Linked DNA regions of Bombyx mori. The protein of the gene in region 2 interacts with the protein of the main gene of each other region in a biochemical or structural test. Links are inferred from orthologs where the notes say so. Each region holds a gene or a part of one and is shown on either strand. Other genes may lie near its edges.

What was found.
Region 1: the proteins of ubiquitin-conjugating enzyme E2M (region 2) and cullin-associated NEDD8-dissociated protein 1 form a complex in vitro, tested with the Homo sapiens proteins (2 studies listed by BioGRID). The link is inferred for Bombyx mori from reciprocal best matches to the Homo sapiens genes UBE2M and CAND1.

The regions. Positions count from the first base shown.
Region 1 is NC_085111.1:7,840,187-7,848,280, reverse strand, and holds the start of cullin-associated NEDD8-dissociated protein 1, read right to left. Parts: upstream 5,337-8,094; 5' UTR 5,108-5,336; coding exon 5,066-5,107; intron 4,981-5,065; coding exon 4,811-4,980; intron 4,330-4,810; coding exon 4,116-4,329; intron 4,022-4,115; coding exon 3,887-4,021; intron 3,126-3,886; coding exon 2,968-3,125; intron 2,846-2,967; coding exon 2,683-2,845; intron 2,237-2,682; coding exon 2,066-2,236; intron 883-2,065; coding exon 774-882; intron 205-773; coding exon 71-204; intron 1-70. Other genes in the region: probable ATP-dependent RNA helicase Dbp73D, read left to right, coding at 7,583-7,605, 7,964-8,094. UniProt on the Homo sapiens protein: Key assembly factor of SCF (SKP1-CUL1-F-box protein) E3 ubiquitin ligase complexes that promotes the exchange of the substrate-recognition F-box subunit in SCF complexes, thereby playing a key role in the cellular repertoire of SCF complexes.
Region 2 is NC_085121.1:6,067,678-6,075,852, forward strand, and holds ubiquitin-conjugating enzyme E2M, read right to left. Parts: upstream 4,455-8,175; 5' UTR 4,164-4,454; coding exon 4,055-4,163; intron 3,874-4,054; coding exon 3,740-3,873; intron 1,684-3,739; coding exon 1,516-1,683; intron 631-1,515; coding exon 490-630; 3' UTR 141-489; downstream 1-140. Other genes in the region: uncharacterized protein LOC101745482, read left to right, coding at 7,421-7,486, 7,592-8,175.

The DNA.
Region 1 (8,094 bases), on a different chromosome or scaffold from region 2:
TGAAATAGCCTCTCAAGGCTATCAGCTTAGGTAGGATAAAAAAAAAACTCAAAGATCAAATAGTACAAACCGTTTGAATTAGTAAAGCCTGTGGTGAGTTATCAGCCGGGGTCCCAGAGATTTGTAAGGCTGGTGGAGGTCGAGTTGCTCTCAGTAAAGCTGTGTAGGCGCTCAATATATCACACTTCACATTTTCCTCGCGTTCTGTTTGTAAAAAAATATTAAATTACATTTAAAACTTTTACCTTTTCATTACATACAACCTGTAATTACACGACTTCAAAATTTTTCGAGTTTGACTTTTTTAGAAGATAAGATTCCTTCTGCATGGAAGTCTTTTTTTTTAATTGCTAGATGGGTGGACGAGCTCACAGCCCACCTGGTCTTAAGTGGTTACTGGAGCTCATAGACATCTACAACGTAAATGCGCCACCCACTTTGAGATTTAAGTTCTAAGGTCTCAAGCCCCACCCTTCAAACCGTAACGCATTACTGCTTCATGGCAGAAATAGGCAGGATGGTGGTACCTACCCGCGCGGACTCACAAGAGGTCCTACCACCAGTAAAAATGTAGTCATTTGTAAACATAAATCAAATACGTATTTTATTAAGATAATTGGTAAATCTCAGCGAGATTTAAATGCCGGCATGGTTGCATCGCTCGATACGAGTACCCCGCACATATTATCCATTAGATGACGACTTTGATCTCATTTTTTATCAGTCCATAGGTAACTCTATAGGTAAAAGATGTTATTAGATAGTATATTTACCTTTAAATCTAGCAATCAAAGCTGGCGAAACTGTATGGTACATCTCGGCTAAGAGCTCGTGACGCGTAGCTATCACAGATTCAAGACATTTAGCTGCAGCACGTCTCACCTGAAAAGATAAATCTTAATTTTTATTTCTTATCATGCATGAAACAATTAATGCCAGTCACGTACACCCATTTGTTGAAAGTACTATATGTCATTAAGTTATCATAAACAAAAAGAACAAAATCCTCAACTTTTACTCCTAAACTAATGATTAAAACTATTTTTACTATTTAATCTCGTCTGTAGCCACAAAAACTGTAAGGTATTCGAAACGACGGAAATTTTATAATGATAATAAGAAAAGTGATATTAAACCGTTAATGAAGTTTTAATTACATATATAAGTCGTCGTGGCCTAAAGGATAAGACGTCCGGTGCATTCGTATATAGCGATGCACCGGTGTTCGAATCCCGCAGGCGGGTACCAATTTTTCTAATGAAATACGTACTTAACAATTGTTCACGATTGACTTCCACGGTGAAGGAATAACATCGTGTAATAAAAATCAAACCCGCAAAATTATAATTTGCGTTATTACTGGTAGTAGGACCTCTTGTGAGTTCGCACGGGTAGGTACCACCGCCCCGCCTATTTCTGCCGTGAAGCAGTAATGCGTTTCGGTTTGAAGGGTGGGGCAGCCGTTGTAACTATACTGAGACCTTAGAATTTATATCTCATCGTATGTGGCGCATTTACGTTGTAGATGTCTATGGGTTCCAGTAACCACTTAACACCAGGTGGGCTGTGAGCTTGTCCACAAATCTAGGCAATAAAAAAAAATTAAAAAAATTTTTGCAACTCGCGAAAAAGGAAGAAAACACCACTCACACTCATAATATGAGGTTCAATCACTTGAAACAATATCAAAAATAGTAAGCAAATGTCGAAGTTACTATTTATATATACGCCTCAAATAAGATAGTCATGACAAGGCCAAAATAAAAAAAAACTAAATTAAACTAATAAACCAGATGATGAATACAATAAATCGGATATTTTTTTTATTATTTGATTGTATGCTATTCTGTTGTGAAAATTTGAATAGTCGCCGCTGGAGAATCCCTTATCCTCAGACCTTCGGACATTTTGTATATTTGCAAAAAGCATCTGTTTCTCATATTGTTCTATGAATTGTGACATGCTAGGCCCACTTTTAATTTTGAAACGTCCCTCATCATGATGGACACATTAGTATACACTGTTAAAATAAAGTAGTTATAATTGCATTATTTCTATTACATACTTTCCAGGACATGTCATCATCATCCGAATACTCTTCTGAGTCAGATTCAGGATCCGCATCAGGTGAGTATGTGTCATCTTCCATTTCTTCGTCATCATCACACACTCCCTCTTCATCCTCATAGTTGTAATTTGGATCATATGTTATCATCTTCAGGCATAGATCAATTATCTTAAACAAAATAGTTATCAGTTTAGATCTTGAAGTTTTTTCTTTATCTTTGTATGCTTTGCTTTTATCTAACATGCATCTAGAACTACTTTGAATAGATAGAATTAAATTACAACAACAATTTTGCATTATTAACCATCAACCTACACTAACAGAGGCGCATTGAGAAAAAAACCTACAACAACGTAAAAATTTTAAAGGTTTTCAAAGGTTTTTCTAAATTTGTTACAGTAACGAAAGAATAATACATTATGATTCGAAGGCTGGGACAACTATTATCCCATGCAATTAAGACTTAAACCTCTTGTCTCAAAGCTTCATTCTTGTATGAATGTACATGTACATGATGTAAATGAGCTCCAATAACTGACAACACAAGGTTGACCCCTGAGCTTGTTCATCTATATAGGCAATGAAAATAAAAAAATCCAATTATGTCTATTTACCGTAGGTATATGTGGTTGGACTTCTTTAGGACACTTGAGGACAAATGCTTCAAGAGCCTGCAAGCAATGTTCCCGTAATTCTTCATCTGTATCTTTTGAATATTCCAAAACTGATGGTGCCACACGCCACAATTGTTCACCAAATCGGTGTCCAGCTTGACGACTAAAATAAACAAATTTCAAGAGAATTTAGTCTAATTAATATAATTTTTCTTGCCTAGATCCTACACATGCTGCAAAATTAAAATATGAATGAACAAAAATGTCAATTAACTCACAACATACCATATAGAAGCAATGCACTGTATGTGTGTTCGGCTGACACTTGATGAAGTTGAAGAGCTCAGACCCTCCAGTAGATGGTCTATTAACTTGTTATAAAGCGAAGCATTGCAAGACATGACCAAATGTGACAACGCAACTATGGTGCGCTTGCGAACAGCCTGGAATTTTTTAATATTATATTACGTAAATTTTGGATCAACGTACACCTTCATACTTTGCTATATATATATATATTTCATAATTTTTTTGTAATGGACTATATCGTTAGGTGATAGCTCACCACCTACCTAATTCTATGTCATTACCAGAGTTTGAAAGATATTAGGATATGAATGCAGCCATCCACTAAAAGACATAAGTTCAATGTTTGAATTTATACTGTGCCTAAATTGTCCCACAGCTCAAACTGGTATATTTGAGATATCTGCTAACAATACACATAGTGAAAGCACCTAACCCATAACAGCTACAAATTACCTGTTAAGATAGTTAAGATAGTTAATTACTTTTCTTTGCAAATAAATTTATGGTTGCCTTAATTCTTCATTTTTGGTAATAGTTGACCACAGCTCACAAGACAAAAAACCTTTATAATTTGATTAAATAAAATTTTAACTTGCTATTGCATTATATAATTAATATCAGCATGGAACATTTAATTTTAATATTTATTACATTACATATTTTCATTATTATTTTATATGTTGATAGTAAACAATAAAGTGTTCCCGAAATGTATGACCAACCACCAAGAAACATAATAATCAAGAGTCCAAATGGGACAATGAAGGTAGCAACAGCTGCTCCTGTAGGCTCCTTTAACTTTGAAATATCGGGACAACCAAAAGTTAGCCTACAAACTTTGGATACATAATAATATATAATTGGATCACAGGTGTTTTCATTGCTACTTGTATACCTGACGGGGAGATGCAAGCTGCGGCAACAGTGAATTGAGCAGCATAGGATGAAATGATATCAATAAACCACCAAATCTGCTCAATAAATCAGCAAGAATATCAAGTGCTTCAAGTTGAACTGAAACATCTTCTTGCTGAAAAAATTAAGAAGAATAATGACATGTTTATTTTTTGAAGAGAGCAATAAATTGAACAATCCAGTGAAATATCTAAACATCTATACTGTACCTTTTCTATAGCACTACTCAATTTACCAGTTATTTTCTTACAAACATTAGCAGCAAGAGTATTGGAACCCAGTGGGAGTTCAGAAATTACAGTCTTTAATCCAATGCTGCTGATGTCCCTTAGCTGCTCAGTATCCGAAAGCATATTGGCACAAAGTGTATCAACTATACCTTCCACCTGATACTCCTTTACTTTGTTTACAAGAGGACCGAGGCTGAAAGTGAATTATTGTCAAGGGTACTGGTTTGTTAATATCAGTATACAGTATTATAAAATTATGACTTTAACAATATTATCATCAGTAAAGTCTATATTTTGGTGTGTGCTTCTTTCTTGCAGCAATAGAGCAAAAGATTAACATATATTTTTTTTAGTATGAGAAAGTTGAAATACCTAAGTGAATTTGGTTTAAATTGAGAAAAAGTTATGTAATTTTACAAATTTAACACTGATAAAAGTACAGAACAACTGAGACTATTAGACTTGACTTTGTAAAGGAAACTTATCTAATTTCATAAAACTATGACAAAAATCTGCGACAGCGAATATTGAAATTTTATCTTCTACCATACTTTTTCATAAGTAGTTTGAATAGAACTTAAAAAATTGGGAGTTAAATCACATGCAGGATTGAATCACATGCAGGATTGATACTCAGATTTATTGTGCTTGGAATTATGAAATATCAAACGAACCATTTCACAGCTAAATTCTGAACTTCACCATTCTTGTCTTCGAGTAATCGTAGAAGCATTTTTACTACTTTTCTTTCAGAATCATCGTCGAGCTTGATACTGTCTTTTTGCAACTCTGTCATCAAATCATTAGTAGCCATAAACCTGAAGTCTTTATCATTGGATGTCATCTACGAAATAAATAGAAAATCCTCAATAAATGCGAGCTTATTAGATACGAAAACATTGAACTAGTTAACAAATTAACCGGCTTACCTTCTCAAGAAGATGTGCTATATGGTAAGACACATTAGCCATTGTGCAAATCCTATCAGTGTCTCTTCCAAAAATAATTTTAAAATATTAAGACCTAACGAGAGCTAATTAGTTGAAAACAGTTTAATCAACATTAATTCACACGAGAAAAAATTTGCAAAAAACTAGGTAAAACTAAAACCTCATTTAAGTGACCATAGATTTTTTGTCAATTTTTTATTTTGCATTTTTAGGTACACAGACCTCTATTGAACAGTACTCACTGTAGATAATTACAAGCCAAAGGCATCGAGACCATTATAGGCCAACAGCATTGTGTTCAGGGCCGTAAAATAGTCATGTTTTTTTTTTCAAATTTATCGTCTAAACAGTCGTTTCTTTCAAAACCATATTATGAGTAGGTAATGTAAATTTTTAATCAGCAAATTAGTAAACTAACAATATTCGGTTACAAAAAAACCTTTTTTACTAACATAATTATTTTTTTTATAAATTAAAAGGCTTATGGCGTCTTACAGAGTCTTACTCATATACAGGGTGTCCCAGAAAGAATGGATAATCCTGAAACACCTCATAGTAGAGCCATTGAGGACACAAAAAAAAATAAAAATAAAAAAAACTCAGGTAGTACCCAAATTATGTATTTTAAAAAAAAGTTGATATTTTCCATACTGCTGTGCGTTTCTGGAATATATAACAGCTACAAATAAATGAAATCCATAAGCTTTTTGGTGTTATAATATTTTATATGGACTATACTAAGGAATATGTAGAAAATCGCATGAGTAGCCAGTGTAATTTTTTATAAAAGTTAATCTGAACTTCAATTTTAATAATGAAATTTGGTATTTTTATTTTATTTTTAATTTGGGTGCTACCTAAGATTTTATTTTTTATTTTTTATTTTGTGTCCCCAATAGCTCTACTATGAGGTGTTTCAGTATTATCAATTCTTTCTGAGATACCCTGTATATTGAGCGCCAAGTATGAAAATAATTTATCATTATTTTCTGCTTTTATTACTATAACTTCAAATATGCAGATTGCAGAGGTAAGTTGTTGTTAATTGGAAATAATATAATTAGGATTTTTATAAATACAATTATTGATGAATGAGTTTTTTTTTACTATACAAAATTATCCTATTACATTTGTTGTGAATTACAAAAAAAAAGGTGCGCGTGCAACTTGAGGCACGTGACACGTGAAAGAAGTGTAACTAAATTTGCAGTGTGTAGTATTACGGTTTTCTTCATTTTTCAAACTTAAATCAATTTTTTCTTGCAATAGGGAATACTATGTATTAGAGAAACGATCTCTTCTCCATTTATATATATTTTAAATTATATATAGAAAAATATATTTTTTTAATCCATAGTTAAAAATAAAATTTAAGATAGATAATATGTTACTGCCATCTACAGGAGCAATGAGAAACTAATAACAAGCAATCTAGTGGCCAACGCCCGTAAACAGAATGTGTATAAAAAAATCAATCTAGCTCGCTTTCTCGCTCTCTTCAAGGTCGTGTGGTTCGCGAGACGCTCTGTATATTTTCTCCCTCTCGCTGGTCCTAAATTGTATCTGTTCTCTCTAGTCGTTACGAATCTATCGTGAGTTAAATTTTACTCTCAATGCACTTATAGTAGTTTCACTTCAATAAAACCAGTAAAATTATAATTTGCATAACTACTAGTGGTAGGACGTCTTGTGAGTCTGCACGAGTGGGTACCACCACCCTGCTTATTTTTAATTAATATATGTATTATATTATATATAATATTATAATTAAATAATATTTATAATTAAGGATTTAAAAAAAAAAAAATTCTATATATATCATTTAAAATATCTATAAATGGTGAAGTGGTCGTTTATCTTATACACAGCATTCGCTATTACAAGAGAAATTTGATTTGATTTTCAATAATGGAGAAAACCACAATACTACACATGACAAAAGAAGTTACACTTTTTTCGCGTGCCTCAAGTTGCAAGCTCACCTTTTTTTTTTATTACACGATTTTATTCCTTCACCATGAAAATCAATCGGAAACATTTGTTAAGTACCTATTTCATTAGAAAAAAAGGTACCCGCCTCCGGCATTCAAATACCGTTGCATCGCTTAATACGAATGCACTGAGCATCTTATACTTTAGTCTACGCGAGTTCTAAACTACACCTGATATAATAGATTTTTCAAATGAGTCTTTTGATTCTGAGTACCTAGATTGCCCACTTCATCTCATTTATTTTCCATTTCATAGGAACACATGGGCCATATTCCCTGTGCCTCTTAAGTAGATGAAATCAACTGAACTATGTACTTCTATGAGGTTATAAGAGGTTATATTTTTGAAAACAATGAAGTTTTTACATGTGTAACCCTTATATTTTTAAATTAATGAATTACTTATCCAATTTTTGAAAGAATATCTCAATAAACCGTAACAAGAGATCTCATCATAGTTGTTCTGAGGTTGCGTAGCTTTAGTCTTTAATTTCAGATCGCCACCATGGATTTATTTATTATTAACAGGTTTGAACCAAGTTATCATTATCATTTAAAAAATTTAGCAATGAAAACTAACTATTAACATACCAACAGATAGGTACACGTATATATTTAGATTCCGAAATTTTAGGATACAATTGTGGTTGATAATAAAACAAACTTCGGATGTTTAAACTGACCTTTTTTTACATGAGTACACAACTAAGTACTTGTTCCTAGGCAACAACTATTCTTTTTAATAAACCTATGATAGTTACATATAGTTAGAAGGCCAGTTCTTACAACAATAGCCCACACTCTTAACATTCAATTCAAATTGATATTTTTTATATTTAGAACATAATAATAAAGGTTTCAAGATTTAGGTAAGTTTATATTCCAGATATAATGACACAAATGATGATACACATATAATAGAACAAGAAGCAAAACGCCTAGAACAATTGAAGCAAAGAATTGAAGAACGTAGAAAAGCATTTTCAGTAAAAAAATCGTCTGATGTCATTACTTTGA
Region 2 (8,175 bases):
TATGCTATCTCATCCACCAACTAGCAGAGTAATAGTTTGGTATATAACTAGAAAAGTACATTTATAGTTACTAGTTACCCATCCGATAAGGATTAGTCAACATCACAAATATACTTAGGTATTCAAATGAAAGAATTGTTGAATGCAGTTCTTTATTTACAATGACCTAAGCGCCACTAGCGACATTTTTTTAAGTTTAACTATGAAGACATAACTGTGTTTGAATTTGATATCAACTCGAAAAATATAGGATCGATCGATACGACTCGTATATTTTGTTATGAAATTATTATAAGAGAAATTCAAGTGAATTAAACGATTTCTCAATATAATAATTGTACTTTAGATATCTTGTTGGGCATGGCATTAGAGATGGCTTTTTTTAAAAACAATATTAAATAAATAAAAACGAAACAATAGAAAAACATTAAAATGAGATTTTATTATTATTTATATGGTTGTTAGCATTTTTTACACGTGTGCAGGTTTTCATTTGAGGCATCGTTCGAAATAAGATGTGCCGACGTAGCCGCCTCGCATAGCTCTCTGAACGTGTTGTTCGAAAAGTCGCCTGTTGCTTTGGAGCTCGTCAGCTGCTTCCTTGTTGAGGGGATCTTCAGGGTTTGGTTCCTAAAAAAAAAAAAAAACAATTCCAATACATGTTTTTTACTGGTGGTAGGACCTCTTGTGAGTCTGCGCGGGGGTGGGTACCACCGCCCTGCCTATTTCGGCCGTGAAGCAGTAATGCGTTTCGGTTTGAAGGGTGGGGCAGCCGTTGAACTATTACTTGAGACCTTAGAACGTATATCTCGAGGTGGGTGGCGCGAGTATAGATAAGCTTTGCTGACAGTTCGTGCGAAGATAAAATGAAAATGATGAAATTTTCTCAATTCGTCAAAGAACTCTCTCCACAGAGAGTTATAGGATACAATTATACAAGACTATACAAGTACACGTAAACTGGATAAAAATAAAATACAATACCGTGAATGAAAGAGAGAGTATGCGTTATTGTACACCAAAATAGATAAAAATGCAATACGTGTGATGACGGACGAATAGCGACTTTCCCATCTAATCTCATTATATTTATCTTTACGAGTACTGCTAATATACGAATATTTTTATAGTTATGATTTTTATCGGCAGCCCTAAGTTTGATAAAAGAGCATTTTGTACAGTAAATTTCTTCAGATTCCGAAACATTCTTGAGATTAATACATTTTTCTAAATTTAATATTACTTCAAACATAAACTTTTTCATCAAACCATAACCAGCAGTTATTTCGTTGGTTTTCGTGAGTCCTACACATAATTAAAAATACTTTAAAGACTCACAGTTGTCGGTGAATACGAAAATTGAAGTATTTGAAAGGTTGAAATAAAAAAAAAAACGAAAATAATCATAATTACACCAAAACTTGTCAATTTCTGGAAAAGAAAAACCAAAAAAAGAAAACTGTTTGATGAGAAGTTCTTAATTGCTATGTCTTTATATCAATTTAGTGGGCTTACCAAGAATAAATACTGGAGACCGTACACTATGGAGTTAACTGTGAGAACAGGTTTCCAATCTTCCCTGAGTATATTCAGGCACACGTTGCCTTCGAGGTCTATGTTAGGATGATAAACTGCTGTTTCACATTTGACTTTGGGCGGCTCGTGAGGATAATTTGGTCCTACCTGAAAATTGGTTAAAAATATTTGTTAGAAAGATACAAGTTACTTACTATCTACTAAAGTGTTTTAGCATTTCTAGAATACTTCAGCTTACGGCCGATATGGTATTATCTACGTAATATTTATCGGAGATAACATAGCGTAAATGCTGCTAGTCACTTGAGACGAGCCGCTGACTTAACTCTCCTCTCACGGTCGTCCAACCCTTCGAACCGAAACGCATGACAGCTTCACGGCATAAATGGACAGGATAGTGGTACCTACCCATGTGTAACATAACATAAGTTTGTAATCTATAAAGATTAGGCTTAAAGAAGGAGAATATAGAGGGAGGGATCACCTTGAAGTCCTCGACAAACCTCAAGGTTCGCCTGGGGTCCGTTTTTAGTTTATTATATCATAGCCTGTGGTCTGAGATTGTATTAATAACTATACTCAAACTGTCTCCTATTTAGAACCGCACGGACCGATCACTGAGTTTGATCAAGTACAAGATGTTAAAAAAATCCAAAATTAGGAGTTATTGCAAAGTTACAATCAAGACCCCAACTATCTCGCTTCTGAACTCAATAATCGAAATGTTTTTATTATTTTGTCTGCAATTTTTTCAAGACACAACAAAGAAGTTCAGCCAACTTCAAAGTCAAAGCTTTTTTTCAGCAGCTTCTCAGCAAAAAGACTGTGGACTTTGTATAATATTAAATATTTATTACTATAAACGTACATATTCAATTGAGGGACAGTTAATTTAACCAATAGTAAAAGAAGTATTAGCTACTGAGCTCCAGCTGGTTAGTATTATTTGAAAACATCCTTTGATAAATTGTTCTGAGTAAAAATGAATTGACTGAAGAATCATTACCTAAGTTCTGCCTCATTGGTCAGGTTGCTAGCGACTACTATCCCCTAGAGTCGATAAAATATATTTGGTTTTCAGGATCTGGGTGTTATTGTCTTCAAGATGTTATAGGCGAAATAACACAGGAGAAAGTTTTTGCTATAGACTGATCAATGTCATAAAAGAATTGTACAAACATGTGAAACCTTTTAATTTTTTTTGTTATGTTGTATTGTTATTATGTTTTATTACTACACTTTATCAATTAATGAAACTTTGTCCTCTTTTGTCTGCACACTTCTATGATGACTTGTGACGTTCACATTGTAGGGTGTGGGGCTCAGTTAAATACTTAATATGCGCAACTGGTTAATCATATGATCCTATGAAATAAAAATAAAAACAGCTGTGGCAGTTATCATCATCAGCGATGATCATCAGTATTACTTCAAAATTTTCTGTTTTTTTAGATGCTCTTAAAGATTCACACCTCATCTACCTATATTAATAGGAACAAGGTAGAATGTGGTGTACCAACATTAGTGCATGAGTGTGTGAGAGAGAGAGAAAGAGAGAGAGATCAATAACCACAAAAAAAATCATAGTCTATCGCAGTCTACCCCATGTATGACCATCAGGCTTCACTCTAATGTTAAATTTGTGGATGGTAATCACAGACACAGGCAGGTTCCGATGGGATCTCCACTATAAGCATCCCTACTGACCAGTCAACAGCGGTGAGGCCATCCAGCCATCCAACACAGACCCATCATGTCGACGAGGACTTCGGCATCAGATGTTCAATGCTTAAAACCAGAATATAGTAAAAGTATTATAGAAGAGATATAGACATGATCACAGGGCTTACCCAGTTGTACACTAACTTTGACCACCTAATACCAAGTCAGAATCAACAGATTAAATTTTTATTCAGACCAGTAAATTTTTAAAATACAATCATGTAATGATGTTTTTTTACAAAAACTAGCCAACTATTCCAAGCCATATGATTTTAGTTTGTAAAAAATACAGATTTTGAATCAGTTCTTATAGTTCCAAGTTTTGCATACAAAGACCATTCGTAATTTTTTTCCTGTACCCAACAATATTGCCATATGAAGTGATTAAGCTCTGAGATAATGAATGTGATCTACTGGTGAACACATCGAAAGTTATCTTAAGGTTAATTATGATGTTAATGAATAATGAACAAAAGCTCACCTTAAAGCTAAATACAAATTTTCCTCCTCTATAAAATCCTTCATCTGGGCATATAATCAATTTAAAATTCAATAGGTCATCCGGATCAGGGAATTCTGTGTTGCATGTTTTCGGTAGATTCAATTCATTCAAATCTGTGGATACATTAATATTGGTCATGAAATGAAGCTTATAAAATCTTATAAAATAACAAGTTAATTTTAATGAAATCTTATTTGTTGCCAATATATTTCTGCCATAAAATACAGGAAATTCATTGGTAATGCTTAATTAAACATGAAAAATCTAGTAAACACTGAAAATATCGCCTAGAACCTTTTGTAATTCGTAATTGGGCTGCTGATGCTTTTTTTTGTGATCCTCCTCCTCTGGTAGAACCCTCTTCATCTTTTTTCTGTTGTTTTAATGAAAAAAGTTTAATCATTTTCCTAACTAATCAATTAAATAGATTAATAATTTATTAAATTCCAAGATCTATTTTGACAGCTTGACTTTTTTGAGTTTTTGTATCACAGATCAGTGTTCGGTGAAATTTTGTTAAATGAAGAGCCAAACCTAGACTTATGATTGGCTAAATAATATACTTTCTCTTTGACTTTTTGTTTTAGCCAATTAGGTATAAGTCAAGCTTCAACAAACACATTCTTCTTGACAATTTCTACCGTTCAATTATTTCAATTTTTAGTTCAATTTAGTTCAATTCTCTGGCGGACCCACACATTATTAATCTGTGGACGAACGCACAAACATCCACAGATCAGTAAAAAAATAGTAGGTACTAGTATATTTTATAGCATAGAAAAAACTAGATTAATAGCTTATCCGAAAAAAAGTTACTTGTGTCAGTTGTATCCATGGAGTTAATAAGTATACTAACTCTATGGTTGTATCACTCTCCGCTCCATTAACTATTTTGTTTTTTTAAGTTTATTTGTAGATCACCAATCCGAAATCATGAATCAGCAAATACACTGTCTCATTTAAAATAGCAAAAATACCGGGTGTTGTTCGATCATGTCATTTACTATGAGTATTATTACGATGTGATTAGGGCAGCGAATCCCTAGATAACGAGCTGCCTATCACTACTGGGGGCGTGCGGCGAAATACAAACGAAACGAAATATAAACTATCAGTACATCAACCAACTAAACATAGCCGTTTGAACAAACACCGCTAACGACTCTCCTTTGTCGGCACATCTTGAGGGCGATACACTGACCGCGAATTTCTTGAGAGGACATTGTTCAAAGATTACCATCACATGCAATACCGTCTTTACCATAAGGGCACACGGGACCCGTTCCCAGGGACCCCATTCTCAGGGGCCCCCTAAGGACCGACAATTTCTCTCACACATTTATTCGGTTTCCGTTATCGTGATCGTAACCAAAAAACCAGCAGTATTCTAATATCATTAATGACATATTATATCATACCGTATTTGATTACCTATAATAAATGGTCATACTGAGTAAAAAATGTTATTATAATTCGCTTTTTTTACTTTCCAAAAGGACCTCAAATTCTTGTGTGTCCAAGGGCCCCAGCCTAATTTAAGACGTCCCTGATCACATGTATTATGTCATGCAGCGAGCGCAAAAAGAGTTTGAGCCCACTGAGTTACTCAACGGATTTTCTCAGAGGGTTGTGATTTTGATCCGGTGGTAGATTCAGCGAAGCATTGCTCTAGAGAGGATGTTTACAAAGTCTCCCAGATTGAGCCCCATGAGCATGCTTATATGTTTGGTGAAGCGAACGCAACAAACAACACTTCAGTTCCGTTCGCGCCGACGCGACGCGCCGTTTCACAGCGAGTGCATTTTACCGCGGTCTGCCACTTCACCAAATATTATTAACTTTCTGCGAAATTTCATCAAAATTATACACAAATCACAAACGTCATTTGCCCTCAAGCTAGGATACCTTCTACTATCGGAAATAGAGATTTAGTTACGTAAATTTAAATATATACACGTTTGCATTTATAATGCTATTTGGGAATATTTTTTGAAAGGTTAGTAATGTCCGACGTGTAGCAATAATTAGTATAAAGTTTTGTAATTGTTGTATTTTGTTACCTTGTTGTAAACTTTTATTTATTAAGGTCTTCCTAAAGTTATTTTTCTGTTTACTTTCTACTTACCTGTAATGTTAATAGTGCAAACTTGTTTACTTTTTGTATATCTATTTTGAATGTATTTTATGGGTGTTTTGTACTGTTCCTTTTTTCCAAATAAATAAATGTATATACATTTAACATAAAATAAGAAAAAAAAAAGTGGTGTCGTGGGACACCAGGTAGGAACGAAGTTCCTTCGGCTAACGTAGAATCGACACAATTTGCAAAAAAAAATCGTGCTCATTTTTATGTTGGTTTTCTTGATTTTTCTCTTAAATTTTGCTGATTAGTTTTTATTTAAGTACAGGAAAGTATTTAGGAAATTCAGTATTTTAGGAAATAATAAATTACGTAAAATAAAAATAAAATCGTAATTCAAATTATCAAAATTATCAATTAAAATAACAAAATATGTCTCTTTAGTTTTGTTTGACAACATAAAATTACATAGAAATAGAAATAATTACAAAATAGAGAGAGAAAGGATGAGAGAACGAAAAGAAAGAGGGAGAAAGAGAAAGGTATTATACACTACTCGCTTGTGTATACGACTGTCGCGCCTGCGCACGTCTCATTTAACGGTTTTATTCCACGCACTTTTTTCCACGGATTTTTCCTTACGGTTTTACTATCACATTTTTTTCAGTTCGGTCGCGCAGCAATATCCCTATCCCCTCCAAGCCTGCCGTAAGGAACTTCGTTCCAATAAAGACAAAAAATATTTTAGGTACACGTACGATTCTCCAAAATGGAATTCCGAACTCACAATTCTCAGCCCAGTAGTTGGGGCGCTGACTACGGTACCCCGAGTCACTCGATGTGTGTACTAGTGTACTATTAAATAATATTTAACTAAATATATATATATATATATATATATATATATATATATATATAGTCGTAAATGTAGTTTTATTTTTATTTCTTCGATGGGTGGTTGAGCTCACAGCCCACCTGGTGTTAAGTGGTTACTGGAGCCCATAGACATCCACAATGTAAATGCGCCACCCACCTTGAGATATAAGCTCTAAGGTCTCAAGTATAGTTACAACGGCTGCCCCACCCTTCAAACCGAAACGCATCACTGCATCACGGCAGAAATAGGCAGGGCGGTGGTACCTACCCGCGCGGGCTCACAAGAGGTCCTACCACCAGTAATAAATTCCATGTATGACTCTGGAAAACCCAAGAATTACAATGGTTTTGTCAATTTAGATCTAAAACTACTCATTTTTTAAATCCCATTTAGGTAATAAAAATGTGAGCCGATGTGGATGTAAGGCGATTAAAATTAAAGATCGATTTTCCAAAAGATCGATTCCGATTGGGCCCATCTATGTACCTACGCACTTTGCCGCGATCATAGATTATACACTTTACGCGATTGTAGGCTTTCGTTGATGCACCTATTTATTTGTTGATATAACTTTCCTTCCTGTTTTATGAAAAAATGAACGTATTTCGCTAGAGTAATGAAGCAAAATATTCCAAGTTTGTAACCTACAAGGTTTATAATCGATTACAAAAATATTAACATTCCCGATTAACATTGATGCAACATGGCAAGCGAAGATGTGATAGAATTAGGTTCTTCAGATGATGATACTGAACCAGCGCCAAAGAAAGTATGTACCCAATTTAATATATAATTAAATTTAGCGCACTTTTGCATATAATATTTGATAGACCACCAAACCTAAACAAGTTGTTTAATTGTTATAAACTTTCAGGCAAAAACTCGACCGAATGCCATGGTTCACATACCAAATAATCTTTGTGGAATAACTATAAAACCCGCAAAGCCGTCTAATAGTGCTCTCCCACTGTCGTTAGTGGGTAGGTCAATTACAGTTACTAAAATCCCTAAAGATGTTAATCCAGTTTCAATGAAATTAAAGAATAATGGATGTGCTATTCAGAAGAATAATTCAGTTTCACCAAGACCAGTTGTTAGACAGTATATCAGACAATCACCAAAAAGTAAGATGACAGGGTGCCGAATTCCAGTCAATTTGGTCAACATGAATAATGCAAGAATAGGGAATGTTCCACAGCAGTATAATAAAAATCTTGTACCGAATCCAATTTTGATACAGAATGCGAAACCAAAGGGATTGTTACCAGCTTCCATAACTGTTAAAAAAATGAATACCATGAAACTAGCCACCCCACATATAACTAACCCAAATATGAAGAAGAAATTAATAAAAATATCACCAAAAATACCAATAGCTAATACAACAGTGGAACTTGATGATGATGATGGTGCTTCTCCAGGCCCTGGACCTGCTCGTCAGTGGTACCTGAGACCCGA